3 linked regions of the Elephas maximus indicus genome follow. The main gene of each other region encodes a partner of the protein of the gene in region 3 in a complex. Links are inferred from orthologs where the notes say so. Each region holds a gene or a part of one and is shown on either strand. Other genes may lie near its edges.

What was found.
Region 1: NHP2 (region 3) and TERT share a complex: the UniProt entries of both Homo sapiens proteins name them as parts of the telomerase holoenzyme complex. The link is inferred for Elephas maximus indicus from reciprocal best matches to the Homo sapiens genes NHP2 and TERT.
Region 2: NHP2 (region 3) and NOP10 share a complex: the UniProt entries of both Homo sapiens proteins name them as parts of the H/ACA small nucleolar ribonucleoprotein (H/ACA snoRNP) complex. The link is inferred for Elephas maximus indicus from reciprocal best matches to the Homo sapiens genes NHP2 and NOP10.

Annotation. Positions count from the first base shown.
Region 1 is NC_064820.1:12,463,486-12,474,296, forward strand, and holds the start of TERT (telomerase reverse transcriptase), read left to right. Parts: upstream 1-6,238; 5' UTR 6,239-6,353; coding exon 6,354-6,572; intron 6,573-6,673; coding exon 6,674-7,961; intron 7,962-10,811. UniProt on the Homo sapiens protein: Telomerase is a ribonucleoprotein enzyme essential for the replication of chromosome termini in most eukaryotes. Active in progenitor and cancer cells. Inactive, or very low activity, in normal somatic cells.
Region 2 is NC_064828.1:23,977,612-23,987,491, reverse strand, and holds NOP10 (H/ACA ribonucleoprotein complex subunit 3), read left to right. Parts: upstream 1-6,996; 5' UTR 6,997-7,080; coding exon 7,081-7,134; intron 7,135-7,425; coding exon 7,426-7,566; 3' UTR 7,567-7,813; downstream 7,814-9,880. UniProt on the Homo sapiens protein: Required for ribosome biogenesis and telomere maintenance. Part of the H/ACA small nucleolar ribonucleoprotein (H/ACA snoRNP) complex, which catalyzes pseudouridylation of rRNA.
Region 3 is NC_064820.1:198,294,272-198,305,692, forward strand, and holds the start of NHP2 (H/ACA ribonucleoprotein complex subunit 2), read right to left. Parts: upstream 4,583-11,421; 5' UTR 4,474-4,582; coding exon 4,314-4,473; intron 4,241-4,313; coding exon 4,171-4,240; intron 589-4,170; coding exon 483-588; intron 202-482; coding exon 76-201; 3' UTR 1-75. UniProt on the Homo sapiens protein: Required for ribosome biogenesis and telomere maintenance. Part of the H/ACA small nucleolar ribonucleoprotein (H/ACA snoRNP) complex, which catalyzes pseudouridylation of rRNA.

The sequences.
Region 1 (10,811 bases), about 190 Mb from region 3:
CTGCTGCTTCCATGGCTATTGTTTGTGGATCCAAGTAAAACGAAATTCTTGACAACTTCAGTCTTTTCTCCTTTTATCATGATGTTGCTTTTTTTTGGTCCAGTTGTGAGGATTTTTGTTGTCTTTATGTTGAGGTGCAATCCATACTGAAGGCTGTGGTCTTTGATATTCATTAGTAAATGCTTCTTGGAGTATTTGCTCAACATACAGATTGAATAGGTACGGTGAAAGAATACAACCCTGACACACGCCTTTCCTAATTTTAAACCACTCACTATCCCCTTGTTCTGTCCGAACAACTGCCTCTTGATCTATATACACGTTCCTCATGAGCACAGTTAAGTGTTCTGGAATTCCCGTACTTTGCAATGTTATTCATAATTTGTTATGAACCACACAGTCGAATGCCTTTGCATACTCAACAAAACACAGGTAAACATCTTTCTGGTATTCTCTGCTTTCAGTCAGGATCCATCTGACATCAGCAATGATATCCCTGGTTCCACATCCTCTTCTGAATCCAGCCTGAATTTCTGGCAGTTCCCTGTCGGTATACTGCTGCAGTCACTTTTGAATGATCTTCAGCAAAATTTTGCTTGCCTGTGATATTAAGGGTCGCTTTGGTGGGTGGATGAGTGATATTAATGATACTGTTCGATAATTTCTGTATTTGGTTGGATCCCCTTTCTTGGCAATAGGCATAAATATGGATCTCTTCCAGTCAGTTGGCCAGGAAGCCGTCTTCCATTTTTCTTGGCATAGATGAGTGAACACTTCTGGTGCTGCATCCGTTTGTTGAAACACCTCAGTTGATATTCTGTCAATTCCTGGAGCCTTGTTTTTCACCAATGCCTTCAGAGCAGCTTGGACTTCTTCCTTCAGTACCATCGGTTCCTGATCATATGCTACCTCTTGAAATGGTTGAACATTGACTAATTCTTTTTAGTATAATGACTCTGTGTATTCCTTTCGTCTTCTTTTGATCCTTACTATGTCGTTTAATAATTTCCCCATAGAATCCTTCATTATTGCAACTCGAGGCTTGAATTTTTTCTTCAGCTCTTTCAGCTGGAGAAACGCAGAGCGTGTTCTTCCCTTTTGGTTTTCTATCTCCAGCTCTTTGGACATGTCATTATAATACTTTACTTTGTCTTCTTGAGCTGCTCTTTGAAATCTTCCACTCAGTTCTTTTACTTCATCAACTCATCCTTTTCCATTAGCTGCTTGACATTCGAGAGAAAGTTTCAGAGTCTCCTCTGACATCCATCTTGGTCTTTTCTTTCTCTCCAGTCTTTTTAATGACTTCTTGCTTTCTTCATGTATGATGTCCTTCCACAACTCGTCTGGTCTTCAGTCATTAGTGTTCAATGTGTCAAATCTGTTCTTGAGATGGTCTCTAAATTTGGGTGGGATATACTCAAGGCCATATTTTGGCTTTCATGGACTTACTCTGATTTTGTTCATTTTCCACTTGAACTTGTAAATGAACAATTGGTGGTCTCTCCCACAGTCGACCCCTGGCCTTGTTCTGACTGATGATATTGAGCTTTTCCATCCTCTCTTTCCACAGATACAGTCGATTTGATCCCTTTGTTTTCAATCTGACGAGGTCCATGTGTATAGTCGCCGTTGGTGAAAAAAGGTATTTGCAATGAAGAAGTCGCTGGTCTTGCAAAATTCTATCATTCGATCTCCAGCATTGTTTCTATCACCAAGGCCATATTTTCCAACTACCAATCCTTCTTCTTTGCTTCCAACTTTCGAATTCCAATGAGCAGTAATTATCAATGTATCCTGATTACATGTTTGATCAAATTCAGACTGCAGAAGCTAATAAAAATCTTCAGTATCTTCGTCTTTGGCCTTAGTGGTTGGTTCATAAATTTGAATAATATTCGTATTAATGGGTCTTCCTTGTAGGTGTATCACTGACAGCGTTGTACTTCAGGACAGATCTTGAAATGTTCTTTTTGATGATGAATGCAACACCATTCCTCTTCGAGTTGTCATTCCCAGCATAGTAGACTATATGATTGTCTGATTCAAAATGGCCAATACCAGTCCATTTCAGCTCACTAATGCCTAGGATATCGATGTTTATGCGTTCCATTTCATTTTTGACAATTTCCAATTTTCCTAGATTCATACTTTGTACATCCCAGGCTCTGACCATTAATGGATGTTTGCAGCTGTTTCTTCTCATTTTGAGTAGTGCCACATCAGCAAATGAAGGTCCTGAAAGCTTTACTCCATCCATGTCATTAAGGTCGACTCTGCTTTGAGGAGGCAGCTCTTCCCCCGTTGTCTTTTGAGTGCCTTCCAACCTGGGGGGCTCATCTTCCAGCACTATATCAGACAATGTTCTGCTGCTATTCATAAGGTTTTCATTGGCTAATGCTTTTCAGAAGTAGACTGCCGGGTCCTCCTTCCTAGTCTGTCTTAGTCTAGAAGCTCAGCTGAAAACTGTCCTCCATGGGTGACCCTGCTGGTATCTGAACACTGGTGGCATAGCTTCCAGCATCACAGCAACATGTCAGCCAACAATATTAACTTTTTTTTTCGCATGTTTTTTGATGTAACGGCTTAAGATTAGCATTAGCTTTTCAAAGACAGTTAACTGTTCATGTAATAATCTGAAGTTGTCATGAATTTCATTTTACTTGGATCCACAATCAACACCCATGGAAAGAGCAGTCAAGAAACCAAATGCCATATTGTATTGGGCAAATCTGCTGCAAAAGACCTCTTTAAAGTTTTAAAAAGCAAACACGTCACTTTGAGGACTAAGGTGTGCCTGACCCAAGCCATGGTATTTTTTAATTGCCTTACACGCATGTGAAAGCAGGACAGTGAGTAAGGAAGACCAAAGAAGAATTGATGTGTTTGAAGTATGGTATTGGTGAAGAATATTGAAAATGCTATTAGGAGGGATCAATCCTTAGAGAAGAACATCATGCTTTGTGTGATGGACTGAACTATGTCCCCCCAAAATGTGTGTTGTAAATCCTAATCTTTTTGCCTATGGTTGGAAACCCTGGTGGCATAGTGATTAAGTGTGACAGCTGCTAACAAAAAGGTGGGCAGTTCAAATCCACCAGGTGCTCCTTGGAAACTCTATGTGGCAGTTCTACTCTGTCCTATAGGGTTGCTATGAGTCACAGTCAGAGTCAACTCAACAGCACAGGGTTTTTGGAGCCCTGGTGGCATACTGGTTAAGAGGTAAACTGCTAACCAATAGGTCCTCAGTTCAAATCCACCAGCTGCTCTTGGTAAACCCTATGGGGCAGTTCTACTCTGTCCTGTAGGGTTCTATGAGTCAGAACATACTGGAAGGCACCTAACAACAACAATGACATGCCTATGGAATTGGCTGTCTTTGTTATGTTAATAAGACAGGATTAGTATAGGTGTATCCTGAGTCAATCTCTTTTGAGACACAAACGAGGTTAAACAAGCAAGATAAGAAGCAGAGATAGGGGAAGTGAGATGCCAAGGGACAAGAAGATTGTCCAGGAGCAGAAGCTCATAAGAGATAAGGACCTTCCTCTAGAGGGTACAGAGAGAAAAAGCCTTCTTCTAGAGCCAGCACCCTGAATTCGCCTTTCTAGCCTTCTGAACTGTGAAAAAATAAATTTCTGTTTGTCAAAGCCACCCATTTATAGTATTTGTGTAAGACACTTATTAAAGTAGAGGGTCAGAGAAAAAGAGGAAGACCTTCAATGAGATGGATTGAGATAGGGGCTGCAAGAATGGGCTCAAAGAACGATTGTGAGAATGGCGCAGGACCGGTCGGTGTTTAGTTCTGTTGCACGTAGGGTCGCTATGAGTTGGAACCGGTTTGACGGATCCTAACAACAGCATTATTTTGGATATTAACAATTTCCATTAGAAGCTGGGAAAAGCCTTCTTACAAATGACATGGTATTTATTCCATGGGTGTACTTTTCTGCCTCAGTTTCTTCTATTCATATATTTGAAAAAGTCATTGTTTTCTAATGCTAGGTTTTTTAGTCTTTATTACTGAAGATTTTCTGGGTGAGCCAAGGAGTAACTTCTTTGTCAGAAAAGAACAAATTTTCAAACAGTGCCAAATTCTCTAGTGGCAGAAATGAGCAGTTCTCAAACATAGCCCTTAAAAAGCACTTCTGCAGTGCTCACTAAATGGAATTTCTAAAATAGTCTCCTCTAATCCTGAGTATTTACAAGGCTGGGCCAGACAACCCAGTGAGCGTGATAAATATGAAGAACCTTTCTGTCAAGGGAGGCAGCAGAGGCTGTTTAAATGCTACAGTCATGAATAAAAAGCAATTTCCCCTCCGAGTTTCTTAACATAGCAAAAGGGTACATTTGTTCAGCATTGTAGTGTTGACCAGACTTAAGTATATCATCCCCACAAGGCCTCCTGAGACCCATAAATTCTCCCATTTCTTAGTGATTCAAACTTGAACACCCCATGAAGTCTGGGCCTGGATAGAATTTCATTATGTCTCTAAGTTGTTCTCTTGGAAGGAGGTGCTGATACAATGAGACATCATAGGAACTGCTATCCCACTTCTGGAGAGGGGGTTACACAGGTGGCTGCAGGTCTCTGTGGGTGGGCTTGAAGTCAGAAGTGCCTGGGCCATTTTCTCCAGCAGCTTCGTGGCTTTACCGAGGTCCTTTGACCTGTCTAGGAATCTCTGGCAGCGTAGTGGTTAAGAGCTATGGCTGCTAACCAAAAGGTCGGCAGTTTGAACCCACCAGACGCTCCTTGGAAAAACTCTATGGGGCAGTTCTACTCTGTCCTACAGGGTGGCTATGAGTCAGAATTGACAGCAGTGGGTTGGGTTTGGTTTTTTGGTTTTGACCTGTTTGATGGTGCCTCCAGCTCTGTGCACTGGGACGATGAGGCACTCCGTGGCTCTTGAGTGAGTCATCGCATGTGTGTGGATCCAGTGCCCCACAGGGAACATGGGATTTCTTCCTGTCCTTCGACGGGACCCACTCTCCAGAGTTATTAACAGGGAGCCAGGTTGGCGTGTTGACTGTCAGTACCAGCAAGAAGCCTCCCTCCCCTCCAAACCCATTGTTGTCAAGTGGATTCTGACTCATGGCGATCCTACAGGACAGAGTAGAACTGCACCATAGGGTTTCCAAGGCTGTATCTTTATGGAAGCAGACTGCCACATCTTTCTCCCTCTGAGCAGCCAGTGGGTTTGAACCGCCAGACCTTTTGGTAAGCAGCTGAACACTTAACCACTGTGCTCCCAGGGCTCTGAAAAGAAGCCTAAGAACCCAAAAAGAGGAAATACGGCCAAGAGTATGTATGGGCTAGGACTCAAGGAGACAGAGTTCCCTGGAGGGGCAGGGCTTGCTCTCCCTCCTGCCAGGAGACAGCATTCTGGAAGCATCTGCCTGGCCCTCCTGGTGCCATTGTGTTGTGCTCACAGGGCCTTCCTACCCTCCATAGTGAGTGTTGACTTCCATGTCGCCCTTCTCCCATCTTCAATGGTCTAACATTCGCAGGTACTGGTGGACTTACGGCCCTGCTCCTTCCAGACCCTGCTCCATCCAAATCCCAGCAGCCATCCCCCGGGCTCATTCAGAGCTCAGTTGAAAAAGTGGTGAAGCACAAGGCCCCTCTCCCCCAGCGGGCGCAGAATGCACCAGAGTCCCCCAGGCACCCCAGCCCGACTTCGTCTCACCCTCAGGTAACCCCAGGGCCTTGGTTGACTAAGGCCCTCTCCACAGTGGGGCCCTTGCTGCTGCCTCTGGACCAGGCACCGGCCTTGAAATGGTTGCTGTCCGCCCCTTCGTGGGAGACTACTGCCCAGGCCGCCCAGGGCAGCGGCACAATCCAGGACACGTCCCTAAACATTTCTGCGCCAGGTCCTCGTGGACACCATGGCGCAAACAGCAGAAACTACTGCCACTCCGCAGGTCAGATGGAAAGGTAATCTGGGTGAGGACACGCCTCCCCGTTTACCAGCTCGCTCAATCCCGGGCCTGCCCACCTCAGACCTGCTCTGAGCCACCTCCTCCGGAGAGAACCCCACCCCGTCGCCCCCCGGACTCCGCCCTCCCACTCCGGGCTCCTCCCCCTTGTACCGGACCCCGCCCTATCCCCTCGTCGCGCATAGGAAACGGCTCCTCTTCCTCCCCCGGAACCCGCCTCGGCCTCGCCCCCTCGCCCCGGGCCCCGCCCCCTATCCGCGGCGCGCGCTGGAGCCTGAGCCTCTTCCTCCTCCCGGAACCTGCCACCTCTTTGCGGCACGCGCTGGAGCCTGCACCTCTTCCTCGCGCGGTCGCCACCTCCGGTAGCTGGGAGCACGTGGGACGCCTCCCCTGGACCCCCGCTCGGTCTTTAACCTGGGATGCCGCGCGCGCCCCGTTGCCGGGCGGTGCGCGCCTTGTTGCGCGGTCGCTACCGCGAGGTGCTGCCGCTGGCGACGTTCGCGCAGCGCCTGGGGGCCGAGGGCCGGCGACTGGTGCGGCGCGGGGACCCTGCGGCCTTCCGCTCGCTGGTGGCCCAGTGCCTGGTGTGCGTGCCTTGGGGTGCGCCGCCGCCCCCTACGGCCCCTTCCTTTCGCCAGGTGGGCCACCAGGGGACGGGGAGATTGGGAGCGTCACTCAAGGGGGACCGCGGCAGTCCGGTCGCTCCACCGCGACTCAGGCGCTCCTGTTTCTTCCCCAGGTGTCTTGCCTGAAGGAGCTGGTGGCCAGGGTCGTGCAGCGGCTCTGCGAGCGCGGCGCGAAGAATGTGCTGGCCTTCGGCTTCGCGCTGCTGGACGAGGCCCGCGGCGGCCCGCCCATGGCCTTCACGACTAGCGTGCGCAGCTACCTGCCCAACACGGTCACTGACACGCTGCGTGGCAGCGGCGCCTGGGGGCTGCTGCTGCAGCGCGTGGGCGATGACGTGCTGGCCCACCTCCTGGCGCGCTGCTCGCTCTACCTTCTGGTGGCCCCGAGCTGCGCTTACCAGGTGTGCGGGCTGCCGCTCTACGAGCTCTGCGGGCGAGACACCAGGGGGCCGGAGCCGGGCTGCGGGGCCCCGCGAAGAACCGTGGGGGGCACGAGGCGGCGTTGGGACAGCGCGGGTGAGCGGCACCCATTGGCTAAGAGATCCAGGCACAGCCTAGCCCTGGAGCCAGGGCAGGTACCACAGTCCTGGGCCCACCTGGATAGGGCGTGTGGGCAGAGTGACAGCGATCCCCACGCGGTGACACCTGGCAGGAGAGCCGCCGCGAAAGCCGTGTCTTGGGAGGGTGAAATTGCTGGAAGGCGTCGTTCTTCCACGCTGGGGGTCAAGGAGCGTGGGGCAGGCCCCTCGTCCGCGCAGCCGCCACTGTCACTGCTTCCCCAGGCATACGTGGAGACCAAGCGCTTTCTCTACTGCCTGGGGGCCAAGGAGAGGCTGCCAAGCACCTTTCTCCTCAGTTCCCTGCAGGGCAATCTGACTGGGGCCCGAAGGCTAGTGGAGACTATCTTTCTGCGCACGAAGCCGGCGTGGAGAAAGACGCAGCTGCGGCGCCTGACCCCGCGCTATTGGCGAATGCGGCCCCTGTTCCAGGAGCTGCTTGGGAACCACGCGCGGTGTCCCTACAGCGTCCTTCTCAGGACGCACTGCCCGAGGCTGGGCTCGGCCATGGCCACCCCTGCGGGTACTGGCGGGGCGGGTACTGGGACCCCGGAGCAGCCCCCGGGGCCTGCAGTGAAGCCTGCCCCTGAGGAGGATGCTGGCCTGCAGTGCGTGGTCCAGCTGCTCCGCCAGCACAGCAGCCCCTGGCAGGTGTACACGTTCGTACGGGCGTGTCTTCACCGGCTGGTGCCCCCTGGTCTCTGGGGCTCCAGTCACAATAAGTGCCGCTTCCTCAGGAACGTGAAGACATTCATCTCTTTGGGGAAGCACGCCAAGCTCTCCCTGCAGGAGCTGATGTGGAAGATGAAAGTGCAGGACTGTGAGTGGCTGCGGCGGAGCCCAGGTGAGGAGAGGCAAGCAGGTGCACTCAGGTGAGGAGGTGCACCAGGTGAGATGGCGCACCCAGGTGAGGAGGTGCACCCACGTGAGGAGGTGAACCCAGGTGAGGAGGTGAACCCAGGTGAGATGGTGCACCCAGGTGAGGAAGTGCTCCCAGGTGAGATGATGCACCCAGATAAGGAGGTGCTCCCAAGTGAGATGATGCACCCAGGTGAGGAGGTGCACCCAGGTGAGGAGGTGCTCCCAGGTGAGCAGGTGCACCCAGGTGAGCAGGTGCACCCAGGTGAGGAGGTGCTCCCAAGTGATATGGTTCAGGGCTACTTGATAGTAGAGGCTTGTAACTGAACGCCGTAGTTGTTGTTGTTAGGTGCCATTGAGTCGGTTCTGACTTATAGCGACCCTATGCACAACAGAAAAAAACAGTGCCTCGCCCTGCGCCATCCTCACAATCGTTATTATGCTTGAGCCCATTGTTGTGGCTACTGTGTCAATCCACCTCGTTGAGGGTCTTCCTCTTTTCCGCTGGCCCTGTACTTTGCCAAGCATGATGTCCTTCTCCAGGGACTGATCTCTCCTGACAACATGTCCAAAGTCCGTAAGATGCAGTCTCACATCCTTGCTTCTAAGGAGCATTCTAGTTGTACTTCTTCCAAGGCAGATTTGTTTGTTCTTTTGGCAGTCCATGATATATTCAATATTCTTCTCCAACACCACAATTCAAAGGTGTCAATTCTTCTTCGGTCTTTCTTATTCACTGTCCAGCTTTCCCATGCATATGATGAGATTGATAATACCTTGGCTTGAGTCAGGCACACTTTAGTCTTCAAGGTGATGTCCCTGCTTTTCAGCACTTTAAAGAGGTTCTTTGCAGCAGATTTACCTATGCAATGCATCATTTGATTTCTCGGCTGCTGCTTCCATGGCTGTTGACTGTGGATCCAAGTAAAATGAAACCCTTGACAACTTCAATCTTTTCTCCGTTTATCATGATGTTGCTCATTGGTCCAGTTGTGAGGAATGCCAAAGGGACTCAGGAAAGCAAGTGGCCAGGTGGTCTGAAACCTCAGCCCTTCTTACCTTGCTGTCTACACACATTGCTTCTCCCTTAGGCTGGTGCGTGGATTCCATCCGCTCTCTCCCCCTTATCTCCCCCTCTCCCATTGCGTACTTCTACAAGGATAGCGCTCACCCTTTTGTGGATCCAGGTCCGGTCCTAGACACCGAGGACAGCAGTGAACAGGTAGAATGGGAGAGGCAGTGGGGTGGGATTGCTGACAATTGGGTAGAAGTATCCAGAAACCCTCGTGAAGGTGCAAGCAGGTTATTCCTAATCCCCTTCTTGACTTCAGGGCTTATTGCCTCAAGTTGGTGCTCAATGCTGATGAAAAGGAGCCGATTGGAAAGATAACCCCCTTTTCCTGGGGCCTGGGAGATGAGGCTCCTGCGTTTCATGGAGGCATCTGTGAGCCAATAGTGCACTCGTTCGTATTTAGGTTTCATCTTGCATCTGCTGTGCCAGGCCAGGATGGGACAGAGGAAGGAGGGATAAAAGGGATGCTTCCTTCAACTGCCCAATTCCATCCTTTAGTAAGAGAAGGGTCACAAGGGAACAGAGGACAGTGGCAGGATGCTCTCACCTGCTGTAGAGAAGTTGGCGCAGCTCCTTGTGAGTACTTGGGGTATGGTTGGTCCCTCTCCGTTTTCTGGGCAGCTGGGTCCTGGGGCATTCCTGCCCTTTGATGTTCTGGGCTTGGTTTTCAGGCTTCTTCCTGCCAGCCCTCATTCAGCCTTCCCTTCTGCCAACCCCCAGCCAGCACACCTTCATCAAGGGTGGATAGCATTGAAAGCACTCCTGCTTGGGGATGGGTGCCCTGAACTTGTGTCTGCACCAGCCTTCCCTGCCTGCCATAGTGCGAGCACAGCAGTGAAAACTCACCTCGGTCGTCCGTTGCCATCTGTTCTCATGGTGACCTTATGGATAACAGAATGAAATGTTGCCCTGTCCTGTGCCATCTTTATGATCATTGGTACGTTTGAGTCCGTCATGGAGGCTACTGTGCCAGTCCGTCTCACTGAAGGTCTCCATTGTACTTGCTGACCCTCTAGTTCACCAAACATGATGTCCTCTTCCAGCTGCTGATCCTTGATGGTGTGTCCAAAGCAAGTGGGCTGGACAAGGCTCTGTTGTGATGCATAGGGTTTTCACTGGGTGGTGTTTTGGAAGTAGATCGCCAATCCTTTCTTCCTAGTCTGTCTTAGTCTGGAAGCTGCACTAAACCCTGTCTGCCATGGGCAACTCTGCTGATATTTGAAATAGTGGTGGGGTATCTTCCAGCGTCACTGCAACACCCAAGCCACCACAGCATGACAGACGGACAAATGGGCGGCAGAGACTTCCTAGAAGGAGTCGTCTACTGGAGGGGCGTTTGTCCACTCTGGCTGGACATGAGAATCACTTAGGGTGGGGGCTCGGAAAACACCTAGGCCCCACCCCCAAAGATCCCAACTGAAATCCGCCTGAAGCAGCCCAAGGTGGCTCTGGGCGTGTCTCAGGGTCCCTGAGAGATCCTGGGGGCCAGCTGAGTGGACAGCCAGGGCACCCTTCCCACAACACATTTTTTTTTTCCTTATGTTTCTCTTTTAAAATTTTATTTTGTTATTGTTGAGAATATACACAGCAAAACAATGAATTCAACAGTTTTCTACATGTACAACTCAGTGATATTGATTATATACCTCAAGTTTTATAACCATTCTCACCCTCCTTCTCTGAGTTGTTCTCCCCTTATTAACATAAACTCACTGTCCCCAAGGTTCCTGTCTAATCTTTTGAGTTGCTGTTGTCAATTTGATC
Region 2 (9,880 bases), on a different chromosome or scaffold from region 3:
TTTGCCTCCTGGATACCCTTCACCGTCGGTCAGGTATCCAGATATCCATACTAGACCTCCCACTCTGGAAGGCTGCTGAGCCCTTTCTGATCTAGAAGAAATGGAGAGGCCAGCCTAAGGTAAGGGCTTCGTTTTTGCCTCTCTGACTTTTCGTGAAGTCCTCACACATTATTGTGCATCAATCAAAATCGCCTAGGGAAGTTCGTTACAAATATGGATTTCAGCAGCCCACTCCCATGATCCCAAAAGTGAGCATTTTACTAGCTTCCTAGGTGACTGTTTCAGAGCATCTGGACTACACTTTGGGGAAGACCCTGCCCAGAGCCCCTAAGTGTGGGAGCAGGAATAGGCAGGCCAGGACCAAAAGTAAACAGGTCCCATGCAAACCATGAGGGCCTGTGCTGGCTCAGGATTCAGAAATCCAGCCTTCCAGGCTCTGGGAGAGAATCCCAGGTTGGCTCGAGAAAGCAGGGAATCAGTGATATTGTCTAAAACTGGGATTTTGGGGAAGTCTCTTGATTTATTCATTCCAGGGTCAGGTGGAGGGAGAGGTTCCTTTAGGAGTTCAACCACTGCGGAAGCAACATGTAAATTCTTTAGAAGTCCAGTAAAATGTGGTATGCGTTCTAGAGTTGTTTATACAAAATGTTGAAGGCACAGTGCAGACCCAAGAGAGGCAGCAGGTCTGGGTGAGAAGCACTGAATACTCCCCAGATGACCAATATTTCTGCTTTATAAATGTAACATGACCCTGGACTCTTCTGCTAATCATTTACTCACACATTCACACTCTTGGCAAGGATATTTTGGTCTATTTTAAGTTCTTTTCCTCTTCTATGTTGCCTTTTTATAATAATAATAACAGCTACCATTTAATGGAAGGCAGTGGTTGCTTAACAGGAGACCTGGGCTCCATTCCTGGCCAATGCACTTCAAGTGCAGCCACCACCCACCTGTCAGTAGAAGTGTGTGTGCATATTGAACAGGTTTCACGGCAGATCCTCCCGAATAAGACAGACTAGGAAGAAAGGGCTGGCAATCTACTTCTGAAAACCAGACAATGAAGACCCTATGGATCACAATGGTCCAATCCCACTGTGAATATGGTCACCATAAGTCAGGGCCAACTCGACAGCAGCTAACAACAACCATCTAACCTAACTTAACCTGTTGCCAGTGAGTCGATTCCAACTCACCGTGACCCCATGTGTTACAGAATAGAACTGCTCCATAGGGTTTTCTTGGTTATAACCTTTACCAAAGCAGATAGCCAGGCCTTTCTTCCACGGCATCACTGGGTGGGTTCAAACCACCAACTTGTAGGTTAGTAGCCCAGCCCAAACTATTTGCGCCACCCAGGGACCTACAACAACAACCACCATTTAACCAGGCATTCACTTTGCTAAGCACTATAACAAACACATTTAATCTTCTCAGCAGCTATCTGAGGTAAGTATCATTATCCTCTTTTTAAATGAGAGAACTGACAGTTAAAGATGTTAAATGCCCTGGCCAGGATTACAAATCTAATGAGTAGTGGAGCCCCTGACCACTAAGCATGCTCTAAAAACCAAAACAGTTGCAGTCGAGTCAATGCCAACTCACGGTGCACCCCATGTGTGCCAGAGAAGAGGTGTGCTCTGTCAGGTTTTCAATGTAGATTGCCAGGCCTTTCTTCTTAGGCACCTCTGTGCCAATCTTTTGGCTAACCATTACACCACCCAGAGACTCCCAGCACACTCTACCACCTCCCTAATTCAACTTGAATTCTCCTGAATAAAATGGGGGCAGGTGAGGGTAGGTACACACAACGTTCTTTGCCTGGCCCTGCACTGTCCTTTCTTCCTGCAGGAATGGGTCATGGCCCAGCACTCCTTGTCCTGGCCAGTTGGGAAGCCTCAACTCATGTTAAGAGGTAGCAAAAGAGAAAAGGAGGATCACGGCACTTGTAGTCAGAGACCTAAATTCAAATCATAGCTTTTCACTTTATGATGTAATCAAAGACCTAAATTCAAATCATAGCTCCTCCCTTTATGATGCAGTCAGAGACCTCAATTCAAATCACAGCTCCTTGCTTTCTGATAGGAAACCTCTCTGAGCTTGAGTCTTCTCTGTATGTAAGGATTACGGTAAAGTTGCCTGCCTGAACTCACAGGTTATGAGGGCCACTTGACAGAAGATACCTGAAAGCATGTTATAAACTGGGAAGTGGGTTAAGAGGCTTATTATCATTATTATTATTGTGCTTTTATCTTCTCATAGCATCTGCATTACCCTCATGACCTGCCTTCAAGTACTCTTAGATAAATAACCTAATCACCTCACAGTCCTCCGTATTTAAAAGCCCTAGGATAATTAATATCAGGCCTCCCCACTTACATAAGAAAGCAGGAAAGAGCTTCTGCATCAGGACTTTGGGATAGGTGCCTCCGGGCCAAGGCTTTGTAGCGCTGCCAACGTCTGAAATTCTCATAAACGCCCTTGGAGGTATAGGAGAGGTCACCCAGTGAGGGCTTGGATGGGGCAGCTGCAGAGCCTCCTTCCCCGGGAGCCCCATGTGGCCCTGGCCAAGCCTTCTCCACGGGGACGGTGGGGGCCAGTTGGGCCGCTGGTGGTAGAGCTTGAGGAAGAAGGCCTGGGGGCCCCTCCTGGCTCACCCCAACAGTCTTAGCAGGCAGAATGTTCTTCACATTAGAGGCTGTCATGAATTGAGGTGGAGGACCATCAGGGCCCCCGCGAGGAGCACCTGAGGCAATCCAATTGAGGGCAGTATGAGTAAGGATAAAGTTCTGAGTTTGAGGGGACTCAGCTGGCCCCCCTTCTGTCTTGACTTTGACAATGACCTTGCCAGCCCCGGGCCCACTGGAGCCAGGGCCCCCATCCCCTGTCATCAACAGTCGGCTGGGGAAAGCAGACAGCACTAGAGGGGTGCCTGGAGAGAAGGCTGAAGGCATGGAAGGCCATGGGGGTGGCTCCCAGGGTGGCTGGTCTGGTGGGCCTGGAGTAGGTGGCGGAAAGGGAAGGGCAGGGAAAGGAGACATGGCAGCGCCAGGTTTCATGGTCATATCCGGTCCTGACAACGGAGATGCTGTTGAGACAAACAAAAAGAGCGGATGGAGTAGGAGAGAGGGAGACTGGCATTAGACCATCTGGGTCCCCCTAAATCACTAAAGAACCAGAGAACTGATTCTCAACAGGTGGGGGAAGAGGCATGGACGGGGAACTTATGTAGTTTGCAACTGCCCCCACAAGTGATCTGGATGTTCTTTACTCCCAGCTGAGAATTACTACACTAGAGAAATTGTTCCCTTTCCAAAAAGACATGGAGACCCTTATTGGCCACGAAGAGACAAGCCCAAGCCATCACTGCCTGTGACCTCCTTGCCAGCCCCATAGGCTGTTTGCCAAGACATGGAACAGGGTTGACACCAGCTCTGCAGAGGAAACAGCCCAGAGCAGGCTCACAAGCGTGTAAGAGACCTAGTCTAGAGAGGTTCTGCCCCTTCTCCAGGTACCCACAGGGCCCTTAAGGAGGCAGTTTCAAAAAGATTATTAGCCCTATCTCCTCCTCAGTCTTCCTTTTACCTTATAAATCTCCCCTCTCTTTCCTGACCTAAAACACAGAAGAAGAAAGATGCAATCGACTAGCAGGAGCAAGGACCCTTGGACCCATGAAGCTTACACCCCATAACACATCCCACCCAGCATACATGTACATCTGCTATTCCCCTCCATTCCAAGCAGAGATTCAAACCTGAGCCCTGCTCCCAGCTGCTCTGTGGTCCCTGCCACCACTCACAGAAGTGCTGTTACCAGGAGAGGTGGTGTGGACTAGATATTTGGTTCCCAGAAATTTTGTTATATAAATCAAGAATGATTAGAGAGAAAATGGGGGGGGAAGTATAGAACCAAACCAAACCCACAGCCATTGAGTCGATTCCCGACTAATAGCGAGTCTGTAAGATAGAGTAGAACTGCCCCATAGGGTTTCCGATGAACCCTGGGGGATTCGAACTGCCAACCTTTTGGTTAGCAGCTGTAGCGCATAATCACTACACCACCAGGGTTTCCTGGAGGAATAGGGAGGGAGCTCTAAGTAACTGCTGGGAAAGTTAAAATTTGGCAAAGGACACTGTCTGTGGTTCTTCTGCTTTGAGCTCCTAATAACCTAGAAATTTAGGGCCCACTAAGACCGAACCGTGTGCAAAGGGAAGGACCATGAAGCCTGGAACAGAGTTCCTGCTCACGAGGAGCTCATGTCGACGCTAGTCAAGGGGACCAATACACAAGATGTGTACTTACTCAGGATGTGTGTCTCCCAGAACTTTCAATAACAATAATAGAAGATAATCTGCCTAATTTCATGCTACTGTCCTCCCCCTCTTATAAAGAACATTCCATGGCAACAGTTGTCAAACTGACAACTCTCAGCTTCCACTTTGTGGCCAAGGAAACATGGAATAGGAGCAAACTCGTCACCTCAACCATACAGCAGAGGGCCAGGAGTATGCCACAAAGTGCTGGCCAAAATGAAATCGGTCTGAAAGTCTGAGTTCCTGAGGTAAAAACAACTCAGAGCATCTCAGGGAAGCCCCAGCTGTCAACCCAGTTGGAGTTACCTCCCTTCTCAGCCCTGATGAATCCAGGAAAACTGCTTGCTGAATGGAAAGAGAAACCATCTCTGGGGCTGGAAAGAGCCATGAGGCTTTTGAGCAGGGGTAGTTACAGTACTTTCCAGACCAGCTTTCAGGAGGACATTTCTCTGCAAACTCAGCAACAGGCAACCCCACTGAACAGTTTTGGCTAAGGTTACCCCTCACTGCCCCCCCATTCCCCGGCCCACTCTCCTCATAAGATCCAGAGTGGCCCCAGCTTAATTCTCAGGGCAAATCCTAGACAGACTCCAGTTACCTAACGAGAAGGACACAGAAGCTTAGGCCTTCCCCTTAAGTCCTTTCTGTGCCACCCCCACTACACACACCTCTGTTCTTTGAGAGAATCAAGTTGCTAACTGCCATCATTTCTCTATACCCAGCACACTTTCTCTGAGGAGCCTTGAGTGGCCTTCAAGGAGCCTCTTTTCCTTCCCCAAACCCCAGTCTTGAGCATCTAATCTCCTTCCCCAGCCTCCCCAAGGGCTTGTCCCCAAGTGAAGTGTCAAATTTGAATCCTCAAAGATCTGAGCTGGTGGCAGGGAGTCCCCCCTTTCCCCCATACTCCCTGCAGACTTACCTCCATCTGAAGCCATCCCCTCAAGTATGGGCACTAACTGTGGCTGTCTGGAAGCTTCCAGAATAAGACAGTCAGGTCCAGCACCCAGAGAGAAACCTGGCTCCAGTAGATACACAGGGATCCAAGGAGGGGAGGGTAAAGATCGGATCAAAACAGAACTAGAATCTAGGGCTCAAGGCATTCCGCAGCGGGGGAGGGGAGAAGAGGAGCTAGCCCATAAAGGGTTCTGGTAAAGTAGACAATACCAAGAATTCCCTCTAAACTAGAGTTTGACAAAACAAATCATATCCACCTCTTCAGGACAATTTGTAAATTCTTTCTCAGACTCCCAACACTGCAGTTTTACCAGTCGGTTCCCTTTCAGTCCTTCAACATACCTAGTTTTGTGCCCTTCAACCTCACCCAGTTCTGTAACTGACTTCTTAATAGCAGGTTGGCTGTAGACCCTTGACTTAATTCAATGAAGATGATATTTTCTAAACCAAATTCAGAGCACATAGTTTGTGAACTTACGGATCAAGGGAACTAAATATTTGAAATTAGGATCATCTCAGAAGATCCAGGGTGTTCCTATGCATACTGTTTCCTTGGAAAGTTGTCCTGCAGTCCCCAAACAGCCCACTTCCATAAGCTCTACAGCCTACAGCAGGCCCTGACTTCCCAATGATGCCCTTTATTGAAAAGCCTCACTATATCAAAAACTGCCACGTAACCTAAAATCTCAAGATCAGCAAGTCCTTATTTTTGTTTGCTAATTTATTTTGCTGTTAAATATTTTTTATTTTAAAAAATAACTTTAAGTACATGTTTAAAATGGGTAATACAGTAATACAGTAGCATGGTTCAAAGGTCAAACTGTGCAGAATAGACTATACAAGTCTTCCTCCCGGCCCTTAGTTCTCCAACCCGGAGGAAACCAATATTATCTGTTTCTTGTGAATTCTTGCAGAGATATTTTATGCAACTACAAATACAAGCTATATTTTACAAAAGAAAAAAGGCTTTTAGATTTTTCTGGTTATAAACTTAATATATGTTCCAAAGTGTTTGCCATTTTAAATAATGTTGCAATGATCGTCTTTGTAATATCTTGGTTCCAGTTTTCGTTTCTTTAAGCTACAGCCATATAAGGAGAATTTCTCCGTTCTTTTAAAATTCGAAATACCCCTAGGAGATGCATCTTATTATGCTATTATTAGCTACTCACCATATAAGAAAGCGCTGAATTTGCGGTAAAGAGACTTGAGTTCGAATCTTGTCTCGATCACTAAAACATACTTCACCAGTTTCATAAAATAACTTCACGCTCCATTCTTTCTACCGAAGAGTGAATACCCATCATGCACTCTTTACCGCCAATATTTTGAAAAGGAACGGGGGAACCGGATGTAAAAGAGGGGAGGGAAGAAAACTTTCTTCTTTCTCCCCTAAGATAAAGGGGCACTGAATCCTAGAGCACTTGTTTCACCAAGCACTAGAAACCCACTACTCCTGAAACGGGTGTGCATCTAGCGATAAAGGCAGGATTCTATTCACCAGTATCCAACCTGCATCCATCCTCACCCCCCTCTAACGCCTAACAGTGCCTGGCACACAGTGGGCACACTGCACGTGTTTTAGAAAGTTTGCAAAGTTGCAACTTATAGCCCCAGGCCAGATCCTGCACTAGCGCGCCCCCTTTTGGTCAGTTGAAGAGGATGTCAACAGTGGACTACATTTCCCGGCATGCCTTGAGACAGACTTCCGGCTTTAAGAGGAAGGAAATTGACAAAGGCGTGTGGCAGTGGGGCAGACTGAGTGGCAGAAGCGGTTGTAGAGGCAGTTGGAGTGTCTGGCCTAAGTGTCGTCATGTTTCTCCAATATTATCTTAACGAGGAGGGAGATCGGGTCTATACGCTGAAGGTAAGGAGAAGAAACAGGGTGTAAGTGGGTATGGCGAGAAATGGAGGTGGAAGGAGGTGTTGACACTCGCCACCGGGTTGCCTAGCAGAGCGAGGGGAACCGGAAAGCCCAGACCCGAGGTATGGTAGAAGCACGAGCGCGCGACTTTTTAATCTGACCCGCGGGTCTCCGAATCTCATTTTGCCTTTTACGCGCTGCCCGCACCGTATCCCAGTCTCCATCTTTCTTATGGCGCCGGTGATTGAATTTTTCCACCACTGAGACCGTGTTCTCTGTTTCCTCCTCGAGCAGAAGCTTGACCCTATGGGACAACAGACCTGTTCAGCCCATCCTGCTCGGTTCTCCCCAGACGACAAATACTCGCGACACCGAATCACCATCAAGAAACGCTTCAAGGTGCTTATGACCCAGCAACCGCGTCCTGTCCTCTGAGAGTCCTTCATATTTGGTGTCTCTTCTGCCGTCTGCTACCCCTTGGAGACTTTGGGTAACCAAGCTCTGCAGCCTGTGAGCCTTCAAGCCTTGTTTACCACCCTTGCTGTTTGGAATTCAGCATTTGATCTTGTTGGTGTTAGGGAATCACGGTAGCATTTCCTTTAAAGGGAACAAATTGGAATTTTCATATTGTGAATCACTGTCATGTTATTAAAGACAAAATAACTTGAAAGAGCTTTCATTTTGTGTGTTGTGGGAGAAAAGGGCTGGTTAAAAAGCAAAACATGAGGTAGATGGGGAGAGGGGAATACCCCAGAGAGTTACAAGAAGATCACCTGGAAGAATAACTTCAGTTACTGCTTGAGCAGCTTACGGGAGGGTGCTGGGGAAGGGAAGAAAGGTTGAGAAGGACCCTTCTACAACTGTCAGCATTCACTGGAATATACCCCCGTTGTCACTCAAACAATTTCTTGCCCCTTGAAATGACATTTTGACTCAAAATGCAAGTGTTGCTTGAAAAACTAATAACAGTAATTGTAGAGAGAAGACCACTGACTTTGAAGTCAGGAGACCAGGGTTCTCCCCTCTTTGTATAACTTTAGTAAAGTCACCTCGTCTCCTTGGTCTCGTTTTTCTCATCATTTCTAAGTTCTTTTCCAACTCTAAAATTGGTACGTTTCAGTGAATTGAAATTTATCTACAGTGTTTGTCCAAACTTTATGAACGTAAGTGCTTTCTTACATGTTTACTGTCCCTCTGGAAATATTCCCAGGCTTTCAGGTCTGTCCATCAAGGATTTATCTTTTTACCTACACCTAACTTTGTATTCTCTTTGGCAGCTACTGTGGAACTCTACATGGCTTTTAATTTAGAAGATGAGATATGAGAGATTCAAGTAGGGACTTTTGTTCTTTTTCAAATTACTGTTGGGTATCATGGTTAAAAAAAAAAAAGTGGGAGAAATTTCATAGGATTTGAGCTTCTATCATGGGCACCCACAAAGGATTTTGAATCCAATGAGAAAATACTATATCCAAGCCTTCAAGAAATGCTAAGTTGCTTCTTCCTCTCCTTGTCAAGTTAATCAACCCATTATTTCCCAGTCTGCTCATTCATGGCTTTTGACATTGGATTTGAATGTTGTTTGTTCAGTGCCACTGGTTTATAAAAATTTCCTTGTGAAAAATGTAGTATTCTAATTCTCCAGTCTTCTTTTTCTACTACATCAAAATTCTAGAGTCCAGAAGCAGATGTAACTTAAGTTGAAATGTGGCTTATGAAGACTGGTCCTAAAAAGGAGTAGATACATTTCTTTTGGACCCTGCTGTTTGACCATCTCCACAGAAAAGTTCAGGACTGCTGAGGAAAAAAAATCTCTGGACTTGGGTCATAGTCAACAGAAGATGATTTTCGAATCAATTACTTTGAACGAAAACCAAACCAAACCCATTGCCATGCAGTTGATTCCAACTCGATAGCTACCCTATAGGACAGGGTAGAACTGCCCCATTGGGTTTCCAAGGAGCAGCTGGTGGATTAGAACTGCCTGTCTTTTGGTTAACCATTGTGCCACCAGGGCCTAGAGGAATGGTGAAATGAGTTATTTGTTTCCTGTCAGGGAGTTATTCTTTCTTTGTCTATTTACTTGCAGTGTTCCTAGCACTGGATCCTAAGGATTTTAAAGAGTTACCCTAACCTAGGAAATATTAAAAATTCTGCATATGACTAGAAAAAGGATCTGGTATTGAAGCTTTAAGCATCTAAGTAAATTAATACAGCCACTATTTCTATTTTTGTTGTTATTGTGCTTTAAGTGGAAGTTTACAGCTCAAGTTAATTTCTTGTACAAAAATTTATACACATATTGTTATGTGACGCTAGTTGCGATCCCTATAATGTGACAGCACACTTTTGTTTTTAATGTTGACTGCAATCCTGTTTTTATTTTACAAAAAAAAAAAGGAGGGAGCCTTGTTTCTCTGCTACCTGCCGTATAGACTGAAATGAAGAGACTTTGGCCTGGAAATTTTCCTAATCTAAATAAAGGAGAAAAGGCAGACTGACATTGCATATATTGAGGACCTTTTACTTAAGAGATCCCTGGTTATTACAACTTTACTAACATTATACAAAGAGGGGAGAACCCTGGTCTCCTGACTTCAAATTCAGTGGTTTCTCTACAATTATTGTTATTACATGGCATTTATAGAGCTTGATTAGTGTTCAAAGACAGGGAAAGGAGTATAGTATATTGGTATTGTTGGTATTAGGTGGTACATGTAAGTAAATATAAATACACCGGAAGGAAACA
Region 3 (11,421 bases):
TGTGGGTGGTAGCCGGTTGGCCTGCTGCCTGCCCAGCAGCTTCCAGAACAGGTGCCAGGTTGCTGCTCAAGTCCCTCACAGTGGCGGGGGCAGGGCTTGGACCTCCTCGAGGCACTCGTCATAGGCCTCCTGATACTCCTCATGGGGCTTGACCATTATTACGCAGGTGGGGCGCTTGGAGCCAGCCGCTGCTCCCAGGTCCTACAGAGAAAAAGATGGGCTATTTGGGAAAGAAGGCCACACAACCTGTATGCCAGGAGTCACAAACTGATGAAGGGCAGTGATGGAGAAGGGCCTAATCTGGTCCACACACAGGAAAGAAACAGAAGTGCAGAGAGGTAACTTACTGCACCCCAATGAGGAAGCAGCAGAACTAAGAATGGACTCAGGCCTATCTTCACTGCAGAGCTTGTGTTTTTTTTCCTACTAGGCAACCCCTCCCCCAGAGCTGACCAGGGTTGGCAGGGTCATGTGCTCCTTACCGTTTTAGAGGGAATATAGACATAGGGCAAATTCCGGTCCTCACACATAACTGGTAGGTGGCAGTACACCTCAACGGGCAGTGTGTCTCCCGCCAAAACCATGATCCTAAAATGAAAGAAATCACGGTCATTTCTGGCCTGTTCTTCCTTTTGGAATCAAGTGCTGCCTCAGGACTGGGTCTTGGGGATACAGAGGCAAATGAGATGACCTTGCCTTCAAGAAGCCCAGTTACTAATATTGGAATGTAGCCTCTGAAAGTGGGTGCAAAATTGTGTGTTTGGTTGAGTGTGTTCTTCTGAAGAGATGGTCTTTATTTTTTTAATCACAGTTTCAAAAGTATGTCTGACCCAAGAAAGCTGAAGAAGGACTAAGCAGTAGAAGCTGACATGGCAACGTTTATGCCACCAACTGGTATAGTGCTGGGACAGGAAAGGTGTGGCGGGAGGGGGGGCGGGCCCCAAGGAATAAGTGCTCAGCTCTCCTAGGAGACGCAAAAAAAAAAAGCCTGAGGAGGTGACACTTGAACTGAAGGTTGAATGATGTCTGTCTGCAACCATGGTTGGATGGGGCACTGGAGATACGGAAAGCATTCAAAGCTGAGAAGCAGAATGGAACCACAAAACACGGGGGTTGTTGGCCACCTGGGATGGATTTGCAATCCAGGGGTAGTAGGGTGGAAAAGAAAGCTGGAGAGACAGATGGGGGCCATACCTGCCAGAGGGTCTTGAGTACCAAGGCTAAGAAGCCTGGGCTGTGTCCCATGAGTGATGGGAACCACTAAGGGCATGCCAGAGAATCCTCGGGGTTCTCGACTAGCAAGGTTTGCCTTGGGGCTCTGGGCAAGGGCCACAGGAGGCCTGAAGACACAGAGGGACAGGCAGACACAAGAAGTCTCAGTTCAAAATGCTGTTTCTGGAGAGGTGGAGCCAAGATAGCAGAATAGACACTTCGGTGAGCCCTCTTTACAACAGAGACCCAAAAAAACAAGTGAAACGAGTATATTTATGACAAGCTAAGAGCCATGAGCATCAAAGGCAAGCTTAGAAAACGAACTGAGGGGCAGGGGGAGGAAGAGACAGTTTACCAAGTTATTGGACCTGAATCGCGAGGAGCCCTCAGGAACCATTCCCGAGAGCGGCGGCTCGGCCGCAGTTTCCTCAGGGAGAAGCAGCCAGCCACACAGCCTGCTCACACCTCTGGAATCTGAGGAGAACGGCACTCTTGGCAAAAACTAAGTACTTGCGTATAATTTAACCCCCCCCCGCCCCGGACCCCCAGCTGGCTTCAGCAGCTGAATTCCCTGGGCCTGAGATAGGCCCTGTTGAGCACCTAGAGCCATCCTCCCGGCCTTGGTGAAGGAATAAATTTGCAATTAGGGGAAAAGATAATTTGCCAGCTCCACTAACCGGGGGAGCTCAGGACAGAAGCAGCTCCCGTCCAAGTATAAACAGTCTGTGGACTTTGAGTACCTTTCCCGTCTGCATGGACCTGGGTGAGCCTATCTCAGGAGAATAGATCCTTGTTGGCAAACTCCAACTGTTTCAGCTGTGCGGCGGCAAAGTGGGTGCTTGATGTTTGACATTGCTTTGCCTATTGAACAGGGTCCTCACCTACCCACATCAGGGGCCTAAGGACTGGTAGCTCCACTCAGGTCACCCAGCCACCCGCGACAGGGGTCCAGGGATAACTGGTACCTCCCAGTCCTTACAACCAAGAACACTGGGTGCCCATGGTCCGTCTGCAGAACCCACCCACCTGTACACTCTAGGGAACAGGGACAGGCTTTCCTCAGAGACACATGGGGAATGATTCTTAGCCCCGCCTTGTTCAGAGCATGACCCCCTGCTGCAACCAGATACTGGTATCTACACCAATCATCCCTGCCCCTCTAAGACTGTAGGACAGAGCCTATACTAACACACTTGATGATCAGCTACCTGGACACCTGAGCTGAAGTCATACAAGAAAAGTGAATGGACTTCTAGACTAATACACCTGATAACAACTCTAACCATCTGGGAAGAGGACGTCAGAGCCCCAAAGGCAGAAATAATCAAGCTAGCTCACTCAGGCAACCCATTTGGGCATATCAAAACAAAAAGCAAGAAGCTATGACACAGTAAGCAAACATAAAATTAATAAAATAACTTACAGATGGCTCAGAGACAACAGTCAATATCAAGTCACATAAAGAAACAGCATGATCACCTCAACAAGCTCTAAAAACAAAGAATCAAGGGATCTTCTAGATGAAAGTGCCTTCCTGGAATTACCAGAGGCAGAATACAAAAGCTTAATATACAGAACCATTCAAAACATCAAGAAGGAAATAAGGCAATACGCAAAACAAGCCAAGGAACACAGAGATAAAGCAATTGAAGAAATTAAAAAGATTATTCAGGAAAATGCTGCTTCTGTATTCTAGTTTTCTTTTGGCATCTTGGCCTCTACTACTCTTCCTTTAAGTGTTGGTGTTCCCCACACTGTGTGCTGACAACTCCTAAATCTGTTCTCTCCAGCCCGGTCCTCTCAAGCTCCTAGCCCACGTGGCCACCTGTGCTGCTGAGTAGCACTGGGGGCTGCAGAGGGGTGTTGGGGGCTGGGGGTGTGTATCTCAAAGGGACCTAAAAAAAACTGTCTAAAACCAAACTTGAGATATTCCCACATAAACCTGGCCCTCCATTGTTGGCTCTCAGTGAATGGGGCCCTCCATCCATTTGGCTGGGCAAGCCAAAATCCAGAAGTCAATTGCAATTCACTCTCCATATCCTAAATCCTCTCAAATCCACCCACTTTCATTCTCTCCATCTCCCTCACCTCTTCTGGACTACAGTAACCTTCCTAGCAAGAGTTTTCCCAAATCTACTCTTGTCTCTCTAATCCTTTCTTTCTTGGATTGAGAAATGTTAAGGCATAAATATAATGTCACTCCCTGGCTTTAACCCTTCAGTGGTCCCTAAAGACCAAGTACAAAAACTAAAGTCCTTACCATTGTTCATAGGCCCCTCTTGTGGCTGGAACCACCTCCTTCCCCCTCATACCTCCATCAGCCCCTGCATCTTCAGGGTTCAGCTCAAATAAAACTCCCTGATGCACGACCTCCCCGCGACCCAGGTCAAACTAGGTCTGACACCCAACTGTGCACCAAATCCCCCAGCCTTATTTCTTGAGCATCTACAGTGTGCCAGACGCTGGGGATAAAGCAATGGGAATCCCTGTTCTCAAAAAGCTTATGGTCTGGACTGCGTGGGAGGCACTGGAGATAAAAATGTAAATACAAATTTCAGATTCTGTTAAATGCCAGAAAAGAAGCAGAGGAATGAAGTCTTTCTCACGGCACTTTTCCTTCGTGATTATCACAACCTGTAACTGTGTTCTGATTATTTGCCCAATGTCACTGCATCCCCATAGGCAGAGTGCTTGACAAAGCCCTCAAAAAACATTTAGTTGCTAAATGAAGGGAGAGGGGTCTATCCGAATTGAATTAGATGATACGATTAGCTTCCTTCTGGAGTTCACTTTGCTCATGGGGTCCCTCTGAGCTCCTGCAAATGGTATGTCGGTATCTATACTGAGTGAAACTTACCGACTGCTTTATTATAGGGGACAGTCAGCCCACTCGACTTTTACAGAGCACCTAAGTTCACCGTTTAGAAACGCGAAACGTGGCGGAGAGGGGAGTCTCACCCTTTTTCGCCTTTGTTGATAAACTTCTGAACCTCCTTCACGCCGCGCCGAATCTGCTTCTGCTTCACGGCTGCAACGACAAGAGAGTCAGTCGGGGGTCTCGCACCGCCCCCGCGCCCCGCCAGCCCCCGCGCCCGCTGCACCTTTCTTGATGCACTTGTAAAGCTTCCGCGTGAGGCGGCGGGAGGCCAGGGGCTGCGCGATTGGGTTCAGGTTGACCAGCAGCTCATGGTACGTGCGTTCCCCACAGGACGCCTCTGCAGGAGCCTCCGGCCCGTCCGGGTCTGGCTTTATTTTGGTCATAGCGGCAGCCACGGCAATACCCACGCCGACTCCCGGGAGGCGAACCCACGCGGCAAGCCTCTGCAGAAATCACTTCCGGGTCGTCCCACTGTGCGGGAAGCCAGCCGTGCGCTACAACCAATTGGGAAACTAGGTTCAGGCCAATCGTTGACGGAGAGGGAGGCGGAGTCTTGGCCCTAGGAGGCGGGGCCACTTCTATTGGACAAAGCGGATTAGGGGCGGGCCCGGGGGGGGAAAAAAAAAAAGAACTAAGGCGAGGGGCGGGGCCTAGGGGGTGGGGCGGGAATAGCCTGCACTTTCCTATTGTCTCCTATTGTCTGAGAGTGGGGGTCGCGGGGAGCGGGAACAGGAGGAAGTACCTGTGGGGGCGTGGCCATGCCTGACGGAACGGGATCCACGCCCGATGGGCGGGGTGTGCGACCATAGTGCAAGAACTGGAAATCTGTGCTAGCGTGATTCCGGACCAATTTAGTTAGGTCTGAAGTTTCAGGTTGTCAGTGCGGAGCCTGGTCAGGTCCCGGCTCCTGAGCTGGTCCTGGGTAGTGTCTGAGTGCTAAAGGTAAAGCCTGACACTGCTAATGGTAAAGCCTGACACTGCTAATGGTTTCTTCCGTTTTTGCATAGTGTCTCTCCATTTGCTTTCTCATGGCCCGCGTTGCACGGCTGTGGAAGGAAGATACAGAGCAAGGAATGGCCCCACTCGTTGACCGCTTTTCCCTAGATAGCCCCTGGGCTCGCTTCGTGTCTTCCTTCAGGTATCTGCTCAAATGTCACCCCATAGGACAGGATCCTCTGATCACGTTATCCAAAGCTGTGGCCCCTTCCGGCCTCCCACCTGCATCCCTTATCCCTTTTATTTTCTTAATAGTTCTTACCACTGTGCCTGGCATTTCACACATCGCTGAGACAGAGCTGGGTATGAAGGACAAGGGAGGGAAAGGCATTTGGGTCTGAGATTTGGGGCAAGAGGGGTGCAGGAGAGCGCTGAGGAGACAGACTGATTTGAATGGATCTGTAGAGGGATGGGGGCGCTGGTCAGGTGAGCAGGCCTGGGCTGGTATGGATCTTGGTATCTTTGACATAGTTCTTTGTCTTGAAACCAGACCAAAAAATCCAAACCAGTTACCATCAAGTCAGTTTGGATTCTTGGCGACCAGATGCGTGTCAGTAGAACTGTGCTCCATAGGGTTTTTAATGACTGGTTTTTGGAAGTACATTTCCAGGCCTTTCTTTCAAGGCACCTCTGGGTGGGTAGATTTGAACCACCTTTCGGTTAGTCGCCTGCTTGATTAATAGCCTTAACCTTTTGTACCACCCAGGGACTCCTGTCTTGGAACACACTGGCTGGATATTAATTAGATAATTGCTACCAATTAATTGCCTTCGATTATTCAGTGGTAGGCCTGCCATTTTTGTGGTGATGTAACAGGTCAGTAAGTGGAACTTTTGAAGTGTGTGGGAGGCCATGGAGTTGGAGCATAGGTCAGTTAAGCCAACTTGTCCAACTTAAAAATGTACTTATAAAATTTTTTTGCTTTGGAATTTCCTGAGGTGGCCTCTTCCCGATCCTTAGGTTGACAAGTCACTCTCAGTTTTTGCCTCACTGCTGACAACTTTGCAGTAACCATTTCCCACCCCCAAAATCTCCCCTGCCATGCCCTTCCCCTGGCCATCCTGGAGCAGCAGCTCTGCTCCTCGCTGGGAAGGCCTCTCCACGTGGTCTGCAAGGCTGTGAGACCAGCTTTGTGGTCTCCTTTGAACCTATGGCAGGGTTTTCTGTTCCTTCCCAAGGGACATTCCTATGAACAGATTCAGTCTTGTAGGACTGGTATGAAAATGTACCAGGGTCACAAAGATGAGAAGCTCCCCAGATGAGTGCATGGGGCATGATGAACTGTCCAGGGGAGCAATGGAGAAATTCTTCTTGGAGAAACCTAATTCAAACATATTTTTTTGGTTGAGGCCTTGACCTCACCAAGGCCTCAAACCCATTGTCATAGAGTCGATTACGACTCATAGCAACTCTATAGGAAGGAGTAGAACTGCCCCATAGGGTTTCCAAGGAGCAGCCTGTGGATTCCAACTGCCAACCTTTTGGTTGGCAGGCAAGCTCTTAACCATTGCGCCGCCAGGGCTCCTCTTACACAGAAGGAAGAGGGAAATGAATGTTTGTGTCCCCAGCATATTACATGTAATATCTCATTCAATGCTCACTGAAAATACCATTATTATTCACAGTTTACTGAAGCTCAGAAAGATGAGTAGCTCGGTTCAGGTCATACAGCTAGATTTGAACCACGGTCTGCTTGTCTCCAAGCCCAGACTCTCCCCATACTAGGGGAGTTGGTTTTAGTGCAAAGATTGTGAAATGTGGCTGATAGTGAAAGTGTAGGAACCTCAGTCTGGCCAGGTCACAAGTGTCAGCTTTTTTGTGTCCTCAGTAAACCACGCTGTGTATTTCTAAAGCCAGCTTCAGAGGTCTGTGCCAGATTCAAGGTGGTTTGTATGATTTTTACCAATTTTTTTTGTTAGAATGGTGATAAAGGATAAAATCAGAGGCTTCTGACAGTATTTGTAAAATGACTGAGCTAGCTAACTCTAAGAGCTCAAAGTAACCTTTCCCCCTTACTCTACCTTTGTTGCCTAGAAACCAACCCCTATTATTGTTAAGGAATTAAGTTTCTCTCTGGTCAGGTTAAAGAATGTGAATACCTCCCAGAAACTCATTTGTTCCCTGATGGAAGCTCTTTGTTCCCAATCTCCTCTAGAGATTGACGCTCTGAGCAAGGTAACTTTTAACAGACCACTCCGGAAATTTTCCATCATGTCATTGCTTTATTACCAACGTGAAGCCCCCCCTTGACCCCATGCCTTTCAGTTATGTCTTTTAGCCAATAGTGTATTCACATAACCAGTAATGTCAAAGATTATCCGTTACTTTGTCTTACCTTTGACTGACTTCAGTCAGTGTAAACCAATCAGAATATTGTGTTTTGTACTTCCTCCTCCAGCCCTATAATCTCGTGCCTCCAATTTCTCCCCCTTGGATTCACCTGTTGCATTTGGTGGGACGCCACGTTTTCTTGTTGCAGTGTTTTTTTGTGCTGCAGCTGGCTCTATTCCCTCAATAAAACTCTTTCTTTACTTTGGATTTTAACCAGGCTTTATGATTTTGCTCTACGACAATGGTCACACGAGCTTCCATGAAGCAGCGTAGAGTGGGTGAGAACATAGTGACTCATGGGCAGTAGACCAGAGTTCTCAATGTCAAATGTTGTTGTCATTAGCTGCCATCAAGTCAGCCTTCAACTCATGGCGACTCCATGTGTTACAGAGTAGAACTGCTCTATAGGGTTTTCTTGGCTATAATCTTTATGGAAGCACATCACCGGGCCTTTTTTCTGCAAGAGCCTCTGGGCAGATTTGAACCGCCAATCTTTGGGTCAGCAGCCAATTACAAATTGTTTGTACCACCCAGGCTCCTAAATGCCCAGTGACTTTGTACAAGTCGTTTAACCTCTTTGGGCTTTAGTGCCTTATCTTTAAAGTGAAAAAGTTAGGCCTTGCTGGACTAAGGTCCCATCTTTTAAAAAATTGAGGAGGATTTTTTTTTTTTAATATACTTCACATACTGTATAATTCGCCCACTTAAAGTGCAAAATTCAATGACTTTAATATATTCACAGAATTGTGCAACCATCAAATTTAGAACATTTTCATCACTTCAAAAAGAAACCCCATAATTTTAGCTATCACCTCCAAACCCCCCAGCACCCCCAGCCCTAAGCGACCACTATCTGCTTTCTATTTTCTATGGATTTACATATTCTGAACATTTCATATAAATGGAATCGTACAATATGTAACCTTTTGTATCTGGTTTCTTTCAGCCAGCATAATGTTTTCAAGGTTCATTTGTGTTGCAGCATGTGTCAGAACTACATTCCTTTTTATGGCCAAATATTATCCCATTGTATGGATATACCAGATTTTATCCATTCACCAGTTGGTGGACATTTGAGTTGTTTCATCTTTTGGCTATTGTGAGTAGTATTGTTATGAACTCTCATGGTCAAGTTTCTATGTGGACATATGCTTTCATTTCTCTAGGAGTGGAATTGCTGGGTCAAATGGTATATTGATGTCTAACTTTTTGAGAATTGCCAGACTGTTTTCCACAGTGGCTGCATCATTTTACATTCCCACCAGCAACATATAAGGGTTCCAATTTCTCTACATCTGTGCCAAAACTATTACAAAATCTAATAATGTATCTCTTAAACACTTGCCAATACTGGTTTTGTTTCTTAATTTTATTGTGGTGAAATGTATATTAAAAAAGCTTGCCATTTTAACTGTTTTTAAGTGTACAAGTCAGTAATATTAATTACATTCGCCATGCTGTGCTACTGTTGCCAGGTGGAAACCCCAGGTTCTGCTCTGCGTGACTCGTCTCAGCCAATAAATGAGAGACTGAGGTGGGAGAGTAGAAAAGAGCCTTTATTTCGTTGCACAAGGAAAGGAGACAGTCGGGGCTGCTGCCACCAAGATTGCTCAATGAGGGTTAGGGGGATGGGTTTACAAGTAGGAAGTTCATACGGATTATATCAACAACATTCTTAATCGAACTGTGAAGGCACAATGAGGTTTGCATATAACTTCATGCATCTCATGTTTAGAAAATGGCTGCTAAACTACACCCAGAGGCAGGGAAGTTACTGTGTATAAGGTCTAAAAATGTATCCTGAATGTCAACATGGCACCTCAACCAGTTTCCACCAATTTCCTCTAGTTTTAGGTCAACAGATAAGGAGAGGAAAACCAGGATTTTAATGTAAAGTTAAGGAGCATACCAAGCAAAGGAACCAGGATTCTAGTGTAAAGCTACGGGGCATGCCAAGAAAGCTGCTTGAGGCAGTGGAATTGTCTGCAGCCTGGGGACCTCTGTCTTACTACCATCACCACTGTCAATTTTCAAATGTTGTACATTACCTCAAACAGAAGCACAGAATTCCTTCAGTAATAATTCATTCCCTCTTCCCCCCAGTCCCTAGTAACCACTAATAAATAAGCTTTGTCTCTATGCATTTGCCTATTCTAGATGTTTTATATAAGTGGGATCATACAGTATTTGTCCTTTTGTGTCAGGCTTATTTCACTTAGCATGATATTTTCAAGCTTCATTCATGTCTTGGCATATATCAGAACTTCATTTCTTTATGGCTAAATAATGTTCTATTACATGGTATAGATATACCACAATTTTTTTTATCCATTTGTCAGATTTTGGGCACTTGGGTTGTTTCTACCTTTTGGCTATTATCAATAGTACTGCAATGAGTTTTGGTATACTTGCATGTGTTTGGGTCCCTGCTTTCAATTCTCTTGAGTATATACCTAGGAGTGAAATTGCTGGGTCATATGGTAATTCCATATTTGACTTTTTGAGGAGCCGTCTGTTTTCCACAGCAGCTGCACCATTTTACATTCCCATTAGCAATGGAGGAGGATTTCAATTTCTCCACATTCTCATCAACATGAAGCACTTACTGATGAAGGTCAAAGACTACAGCCTTCAGTATGCATTGTACTTCAATACAAAGAAAACAAAAATCATCACAACTGGACCAGTAAGCCACCTCATGATAAATGGAGAAAATATTGAAGTTGTCAAGGATTTCATTTTACTTGGATCCGCAATCAACACCCGTGAAGGTAGCAGTCGAGAAATCAAACAACACGTTGCATTGGGCAAATCTGCTGCAAAAGACCTCTTTAGGGTGTTAAAAAGCAAAGATGTCACTTTGAGGACTAAGATGTGCCTGACCCAAACCATGGTATTTTCAATTGCCTCATGCATGTGAAAGTTAGACAATGAATAAGGAAGACTGAAGAAGAATTGACAGCTTTGAATTATGGTGTTGGTGAAGAACATTGAATATACTGTGGACTGCCAGAAGAATGAAGAAATCAAGCATGGAAGAAGTACAGCCAGAATACCCCTTAGAAGCAGGGATGGCAAGACTTTTTCTCACATACTTTGGACATGTTATCAGGAGGGGCCAGTCCCTATCATGCTTGGTAAAGTAGAGGGTCAGCAAAAAAGAAGACCTGCAATGAGATGGATTGACGCAGTGGCTGCAATGATGGGCTGAAGCATAATAACGATTGTGAGAATGGCACAGGACCAGGCAGTGTTTCCTTCTATGAGTTGGAACCGACTGGACTGGGACCTAACAACAACAATAGTGGAAGTGAAATGGCATCTCATTGTGGGTTTGATTTGCATTTCTCAAATGACTAAAGACTTTGAGCATCTTTTCATGTGCTAATTGCTGCCAATAGAGCATTTTAGCCATCTTTTTTGGCCGGTGGCTGTGGAGGGAGTAAATGGTATCTTTAATTTCCATTTCTTTAATTCTGTGGGAGGCTGAATATATCATAATTTCACAGGTCATTTGTATTTATTTTGTGTGAACTACCTGTTCAAATTTTTGTCCAATTTTTCTATAGAGTTGACTCATAGCTTTAGAAAAGCTTTTTGTATTTTTCGGGAAATTTGTGCTCTATATGATTTATGTGTGGCAAATATAGACAGAAGCTTTTAACCAGTTTGTCATTTGTCTTTTGACTGTTATAGCAAAGTTATGTTTAGGTAGTTAAATGTATCAATCTATGGCTTCCAAGTTTTGTGCCATGTTTGAAAAGAACTACTTCTGGCATTGCCGTGAGTTGGAGCTGACTCACTGGCAACTGGTTTGTTTTTGTTTACCCTGTTATCGTGTAAGTCTCTTCTATGTTTTCTTCTGGTGCTTTTACTTTTGATCATCTGTGTTCGGAGCAAGCAGGGCTCCAGCTTTCCTCTTTTCCAGATGACTAGCCGATCGATGGTCCTGGTGCCATTTCTTGAATTCTTTGTCTTTTTCTATCCACTTACGTAAAATGCCT